Saccharomyces cerevisiae S288C: one gene and its partner. The gene in region 2 interacts genetically with the main gene of each other region. Each region holds a gene or a part of one and is shown on either strand. Other genes may lie near its edges. The genes, in order: YVC1 and SBE22.

Evidence for each region.
Region 1: mutations in SBE22 (region 2) and YVC1 together harm fitness more than expected from each alone (negative genetic interaction), as found in Saccharomyces cerevisiae (2 studies listed by BioGRID).

What each region holds. Positions count from the first base shown.
Region 1 is NC_001147.6:485,431-489,360, reverse strand, and holds the start of YVC1 (Yvc1p), read right to left. Parts: upstream 1,655-3,930; coding exon 1-1,654. Other genes in the region: TCB1 (tricalbin), read left to right, coding at 2,582-3,930. UniProt on the Saccharomyces cerevisiae protein: Required for release of calcium ions from the vacuole in response to hyperosmotic shock.
Region 2 is NC_001140.6:318,296-322,225, reverse strand, and holds the start of SBE22 (Sbe22p), read right to left. Parts: upstream 1,813-3,930; coding exon 1-1,812. Other genes in the region: putative serine/threonine protein kinase KIC1, read right to left, coding at 2,412-3,930.

The DNA of each region.
Region 1 (3,930 bases), on a different chromosome or scaffold from region 2:
TCATCCTGTTATATTTTATCCTTCTAGCCTCCCGAGTTTCTTTAACAGAAATAAGCAACAAAAATGGGCTGTACACTATTGTCATTACAGTATAGCTCAAATCTTTAGCACGCTTCGGTGGAAGAATACGAAAGATAGGTGTCATGAACACTTCAATTAAGTTCAATGGAGAAACATAGACATCTTCATCAGGTGCTCTAATGTATCTCAACGTCTTTTGTGACATCAAAGCCATGTACTCGTCATCTGCATTGTCAATAACTTTTTGGTACGCAGTCGAATACAAAGCAATTAATATATTCAAAAGGATAACCGAAACAATAAAATAGTAACCATAATACAGTATTGCCGCATATGGGGGAGCGAATTCTTCGAAAACATCAAAACTACCAAGACCCAAAACGGTGATTGTTAAATTACCCAGGATGGGTCCGGTGATATCTCTCTTACCATCTGCGGAATCCAAACCTAAGAAACCTTGAGTGAATCCTATCATTATTAAGAATAGAAGGAAGAAAAATACAATGGATTCTTTCATCATATGTTTTAGGATAACCAACATAATCCCAATAAACCTTTGTGATTCAAGGTATAGTAGGAGTCTCGACCACACAAATGGTGCTGCACAGGATAAGACTCTATATGATATTTTATCCCAATCTTCTGAAGAGTATTTTGCATTAAGGGGCGTTACGCTCATTGCACGGAACCCCATAGCAAACGTGATTATCAAATATGTGGTATCATTAAATAAATTCCAAAACGATAGGTGCGCATAACCAATATAATAAAGCTTAGTGAGCTCATCCAAGATGAAACCAGTATTGAAAACATAAAATATGCTTTCTAACAAATCGAAAGATTGGACTCTCTCAGAGTCCTTACCATTAACCACCAAGGTATAAAGCCCTAGAAACAAAAATGAGAAGATCATCTGCAAATAATTTTGGTATACAGGCGCCTTTAATCTTACGGGGTTGAAATGAGAGATCAATGACACTTCCGCCAGTGAATCGTCCTTGATAAAAGTTGTGGGATCCAAGCCATTTTGGACTATCCATCCTCTCCATATCCATTTTAAACAACGCTGAAATCCACTCGATCCTATCACTGTAGTACAGTGCATATCTGTGGCAAGTTCCAAGGCATTCAACGGTTCTTGATCTTCATCGTTCTCGTTGATTACGTACCGACGCAGCAGTAACTGCATGAAAAGAAACTGCAGGTCTCTTGTCTCCTCCCTTTCAATTAACAATTTACATAACTGTTGTGAGGCTAAATTTCTGGTTTCGTAAAGTTTGGCATTGTGCACTTCCATAGTGGCCAATATGGAATACCACTCACAAACTTTAAGAAGTGAAAAAATAATGACAGATTGATATTTTCTTTTGTTGGCCTTGTCTTTAGGGTTCCCGCCACATGCTTCATAAGCCAGCTTCACAACTTTTGGAGATAAAATCTCAGAATGGTCACAAACAATATCATTGGGATCGTAAACAATAGGTACGACCTTATCAATTAAGTATTTCAAATTTAACGTAACCCTGAGAATCTGTCTCGGAGTGGGGGCCTCAAATCCAAGAGATCCATTGTTTTCCGGCATGCACTGTTCGTTAGAAATTGGCAAGTGCAAGTCGCCGTTGGCTGATACCATAATGCTCCTGTTCTAGTAATATTATATTTTATAACTGAATTCTATTGCCTTACCAAGCCACTGATTAATGACAATTGCATTGAATAGGCTCTAGCTGATCCTCGAAGGATACTGACTAAATTTACCACATATTTTCAGCTCTTATGAGATAACTCCGACATAGCAACAGTGTAGGAGAAAAATTAAAAAATTAACGACCCCAGTGAGGGTTGAACTCACGATCTTGCGATTAACAGTCGCACGCCTTAACCAACTTGGCCATGGAGTCTAACTTTGTTGTTTTAGAGAACGAATGAAGAACTTATTATGACGATAAAAATATGTCAAGAGAGGCCCAAGAATGTATAAATCATTGTAAAACCAAGCAAGTAACAAAAATGGTCATGTGACAAGAGGTGGTGACATAAAAATAACCAAAGGACTAATAACTAGAGAAACAATAAAATGAGAAACTAAAAAAAGAAATAAAGCATTGAAAATCTCATTAGACTAGTTGGCTCATTTCCATGGCAAAATGTACAATTGTATCTCAGTAACGTTATACTCGCTCCCTTTTTAGGCCAATTTTATCCATTATTCTCATTCTAAAATAGCGGACATAACGAGAAAACGATTTACGTTAGAAGTGATAACAACTTTGGCGACCGGAATGCTGCATGAAAAATTATAACAAAAGGCCCCTCAAAAAGCTAAGGGACAGGGATGTTGCTGCAATTGGAATAGTATAATCGGCCGTCAAAATTATCAACTAATAGCATTGGCTACTCCAATTTGGACTTACTGGCTGGTAATTGACTTGTATAGCATTGTCTTAGCTTATTATTTTTTTTTTGCTGAAGAATAAGTAGGATAATTGAAGAAGAATAGCTAAGATAAAAAAAGATAGCTAGTGCATTCTGAAAACTTCAATTGCGTGGTACATACAATATGGCCAAAGAAGATACTGGGGTAACAGCACCAAAGAAGCCCGAAACAGCCCAAGTAGCTAACATAAATGGGATAGATAAGTTAGAACCTCCAAAGACGAAAGAGGAAACCGAATCCAGTAAAAGCGTGTCATCTGAGAAGGCGGCACATGCTAGTGATGAAAGCTTCAAGAGAAGTATCCATGAAGCTTCTTATGTCGGCTGGAAACAGATTGGTGGCTGGGAAGACAAAGACGAATTAACTTTAGATGATGAATTGATGGATATGACTAGAGAAACCTTCTTAGATAACATCATACCGGACAGCCTTTACGGTGACTGGTATCATTCGGTAGCCATTTTCTTTATCGGAGGCGTGGCATCATTTGCACTTGGTCATTATAAGTTTTCAATGGGGTCGGCCTTTTTTGTCATCGTTATCACTTCATTGTTGTATAGAACCTCTGCTAAAAAATACAGAGGTTCCATAAGAGAGTTAGTCCAGAAAGAGTTCACGGTGCAGAAAGTGGAAAACGACTATGAATCCCTAGAATGGTTGAATGCCTTTTTGGATAAGTACTGGCCCATTTTAGAACCTTCCGTTAGTCAATTAATCGTTCAGCAAGCTAATGAACAAATGGCTACTAATGAGGCGATTCCCAAATTTATTACTCAACTATGGATCGATGAGTTGACACTTGGTGTTAAACCCCCCAGAGTTGATTTGGTGAAGACTTTCCAAAACACTGCATCCGATGTTGTTGTGATGGACTGGGGTATTTCTTTTACTCCTCACGATTTATGCGACATGAGTGCTAAGCAAGTCAGAAATTACGTTAATGAATTAGCGGTTGTTAAGGCCAAAATTTTTGGTATCACCATCCCTGTTTCTGTGTCAGACATTGCTTTCAAGGCTCATGCTAGAGTGAAATTCAAATTGATGACTCCCTTCCCTCATGTCGAAACTGTTAATATCCAGCTACTGAAGGTTCCTGATTTTGATTTTGTTGCTACCTTATTCGGCCGTTCCATCTTCAATTGGGAAATTTTAGCTATCCCAGGCCTTATGACACTAATACAAAAGATGGCCAAGAAATATATGGGTCCAATCTTGTTACCTCCATTTTCTTTACAATTGAACATTCCACAACTCTTATCTGGTTCCAACTTGTCCATTGGTATATTAGAAATAACTGTCAAAAATGCAAAGGGGCTAAAACGTACCTCTTCGATATTGAACGAATCAATCGACCCTTACTTATCTTTCGAATTTAACGATATATCTATTGCCAAGACAAGAACCGTAAGAGACACATTGAACCCCGTTTGGGACGAAACTCTGTACGTCTTGTTAAACTCATTCACTGACCC
Region 2 (3,930 bases):
AAGCTCCTGTAGCTCATGAAATGGTTGAATATAGTTTTTGGTAATAAACCTAGTCTTGCTCTGTAAAATTTCGCTGTAAATTGTTGACCTAGTTTCGTCACTAAATGGAGTGTCCCAAACCATTTTACTTAGGCTTTGTAAGGAGGAGTTTCTAGTTATATCTCTGTCCAATAATAACACATATTTTTGCCTATTTGTTTCATCTCTAATCAACTTTTCTTCTCTGTCTTTATTTTTTCCTAGTTGGTCAAGGGAAGCAACACTCATGCTTTTGTTAATTTGCCTTTCATGAAGCTTTTTTTCCTGGCGATCCTTGGGTGGTAACCAACTCGGTCTTGAATGGCTGACCACATCTAGTTTGTTCTCCGAGACAAGTATCAAATCTTCCATGCCTTGATTTTGAGCTTCTTTTAGTTCAATTGGCAAGAAATCGGAAGACTTTGTTCTTTCGGACAGCTTAGATCTTGAAAGCCTATTGGAAGAATGCAAATAAACAGAGGCTAGACTCTTGGTTGTGTCTTGAATGAACTGAAAATCAGTTACTTTGTTCAAACCTGGAATCGGAGACGTAGGCATCTCATTAAAGTCCAATAATGAGGCGTTTGATGTTGTACTCGCAAAAGAGATGTTCGAGTACCTATGATTTTGTTTTGTATAAGAAATTTCAGAGTTATCATTTACCAAACCTCCGGTATATTCTGATAAGTCATTCTTGCCAGCCAAGTTATTCATATCATCGGGCTTAGCAGACGCTAGAAATGAATTAGTAGATAATGATGCCATAGGAACGTTCCAAATCAACGAATCATCAACGTCTCCCTCTTGTAACTCAAGAATTTGTTCTTGACTATCATAAAATTTCTCTTTTCTTTTGATTGTATTTCTTAAATTCATCTCCGATTGCTCTTTACGAAGTCTGTATTTCTGAGACGGAGTTAATGGCTTGCAATTCAAAGGTTTCTGAGATGGAACGTTAAATTCTAATGACGAAGCCTCTATCCGATCACTTGAATTAGAAATTTTGGAGCTTATGCCAAACGTTTTCAGAATGCTGCTGTTGTTATAACCCGTAGACGAGCATGTTTGCGATTTAGCACGTGATCTTTGCTTGCTGTTCAGTAAAGATGACTGGCTTTTCTTCGAGGAGAACTGTTCTTGGTAAGAATGTCTAGATTTATTCATAGTTTTCTCTGCGGCTGTATCATCAAACGACATGCTTTTTTGCAGTGCCATTTTGGAACCGTCCGTAGTTGCTTCCACAATGGTATTATTGCTTGCGCTTCTCATTCCATTTCCATCAGCGCCTCTACCTTGAGTAGCCTTTTCCATCAATATGCTGGGAAAAGTATTTATTTTAGATTTGTCGGCATCACTGCCTTCTCCCTCATCGCTGGTATCTCCCAAGGAGGAAGATGCAGAAGTGGATGAAAATACCTCGGTAGTCTTGGTACCTATTGAGCTATTTGAAGCGGGACGTTCACGTCTTGTTTGAGCAGGGTTGACTTTTGGCGGTGGTAAAGCCGAGTTAACGAATGAATTTAGCATATTTCCCCCATTGCCGTTGTCGCTACAGTTCATGTTTGATAATAAATTCTCACTTGGTCTTCGAGCAATATCTAAGCCTGAAACTTTATTCATTGTATTGCTTCCAGCCCTTGACCTTCCTAAAGTTGTTTGAGACGGTGGACGTTGCACGTGGGATCCTATGATACTTCTTTGTTTAGGAAGCATCTCGCTGGAACGATCACTAGCCTCACCTTCTTTAAGCGAATGCAGATGAGCGCTTGTGCCTCGCTCCTGAATCGAGGTCATTTCTTGAGTAGCGTGGCAAGTTAGACCGTATTAACTAAAGATAAGGACAAATTTGAGTCGAAAAAGTATAAACACGATCACGTTTCACTCTTGAAAACGGTAAAGGATCAACGAATGTATTATTTTTTTTGGTTCTGCTGTATATGACCTTTTCGATTTCTTCTCCACTATATATGGCAATTCTGGGGTAACAAATACAACAATCAGCGTTACAAAAGGTATTTTGGAATGTTTACAGGATAATTATCTCTCTTACAGTGATGAGAATGCTAAAATTTCAAGTGGTAAACATTGGTTGAAACCTCCTTAGCGCTTTCTCAGGATTTGCGCTTCGCACGGTTTTTTCTTCTAGGCGCGTTTATAAGAAGAAAAAATAACGGAAAAAACAAATGGCGAGGTTTGGTAACTGCGCCATTTGCTTTCTTTGAACTAGAATAGCAATAAAGTCCGTAAAGCGCTAACCTTGCGCAGTCGAGTTCCATGTGGTGCTTAAAGGGACTTGTTAAGTTCTGTAGAAAATATATACTTTCACTTTTCTTACATCTTGCTTATTTTTCTTGAATATGTACATAAACAAAAGAATAAACTAGACGATGCTTTTAATGCTCATTATCCTTGATAGGCGTTGAAATAAGTTGTTCCTTTAAAGCGTGTTCAATGCAGGGCAAACCTTCTTCGAACATTTGTAAAAGATTTTCCAGTTCTTTCAGAACCTGGGGTTTCCTGTCTACCCGCCTCTGTTTTCCTGGCAGAAACGATTCTAAGTCCAAGAACATTTCCATTTGTAAACTCTGTGGAGGAGGACACATGCCAAAGCCTAAAGAATTAACCGAGTTTGCAGCTGTTGCGGCGGAACTCAGAATATGATTGAATTGTGTTCCGGATGGAATAGTCTGTTGTGAAATTGGTGCAGTCGTTGATGCCGCGGCAGAACTTGAAGTTGCGATAGTCGTAGAATTGGCTTTGATAGTAGTGTTTCCTGTATTAGCAGAAAGAGGAACACTGTTATTAGGGCCGCTGTTGTTGTTAGAGCCAACATTGTTGTTACCGATACCGGAAACATTGCCGGAAACAGATGAGCCAAGAATATTCAATGGGTGTTCCGAGGCAGAAGAGTTCTTCCTGTTAGAAATGCTTTGACTTCTCTTGATCTTGCCCCCAAAATCAATGTGTTTCTCACTAATTGGAGTCATTGAGACAGGGATGTTGGACGCACTGCTTGTGTTAAATCCAAATTGATTAATATTTTCGTTCGTGGATATGCCAGCGCTCCCCGGCATGCCATTGTTATTCTGTGAGGTTGCTGTATTTGGATCAAGAAGTTTATTTCTCACAACAGGTGTAGGTAGTGGCATTTGTAGTTTTAAGTTTGGGTTGTTGCGTTTAAAGTCACCATTGACCCTTGAGCCTTCCTTTTCGTTGGAAAAGTAGTTTGATGAGGTTAAATTATTGCTGCTATTACCACTAATAGTGTTAAGTGTAGAAGAACTAGGTATGCTGTTCAGAGGTTGCAAGAGAATGTCCTTGTTATCTTTGCTATTGGCCATTGGTTTCATCGTAGGAGGAGGCGCGAGGTTCGTGTGAGTAGAATTATGACCAATGTTTTGGGTTGGGGAACCGGCAGGCTTTCTATTGGGAGAAGTTCCAACTCCAAATAGTGGCCTTGAGGGTGAAGAAGCCTTATGAGTAGATAACTTTGTTACATTACCTGGATTGGTTATGCCCATTTGTGTGCTATTTGCAGTGTTACTACCGCTGCTTCCTCTTGAGTTCTCACTATCAGTGTTGTTGTTATAGTTATTACTGTTGTTCGGAGTGGAGCTGATTCCGGAATTAGAAGCAACTGCGGACCCCAATTTTTGATTTGTTATGGTGCTTGGGCAATGTTCTGGCCTATTGTTACTGACTGTCAACCGCCTGGGCACGTTTGAAGGTGATTTATATTGTATTGAGCTAGATGACGAAGGAGTGCCAGCCGTCACTGTAGATGACCTGGCCTTTGTGCTTGGTATTAAAACCGGATCTGCGCTCGCAGGCGTTGGTAGAGCACTATTCGGTAGTTCTTCAGGAATTTCTATTTCAATAGACGTTGGAGCAGTAGTTAATCCACTTGTTGGA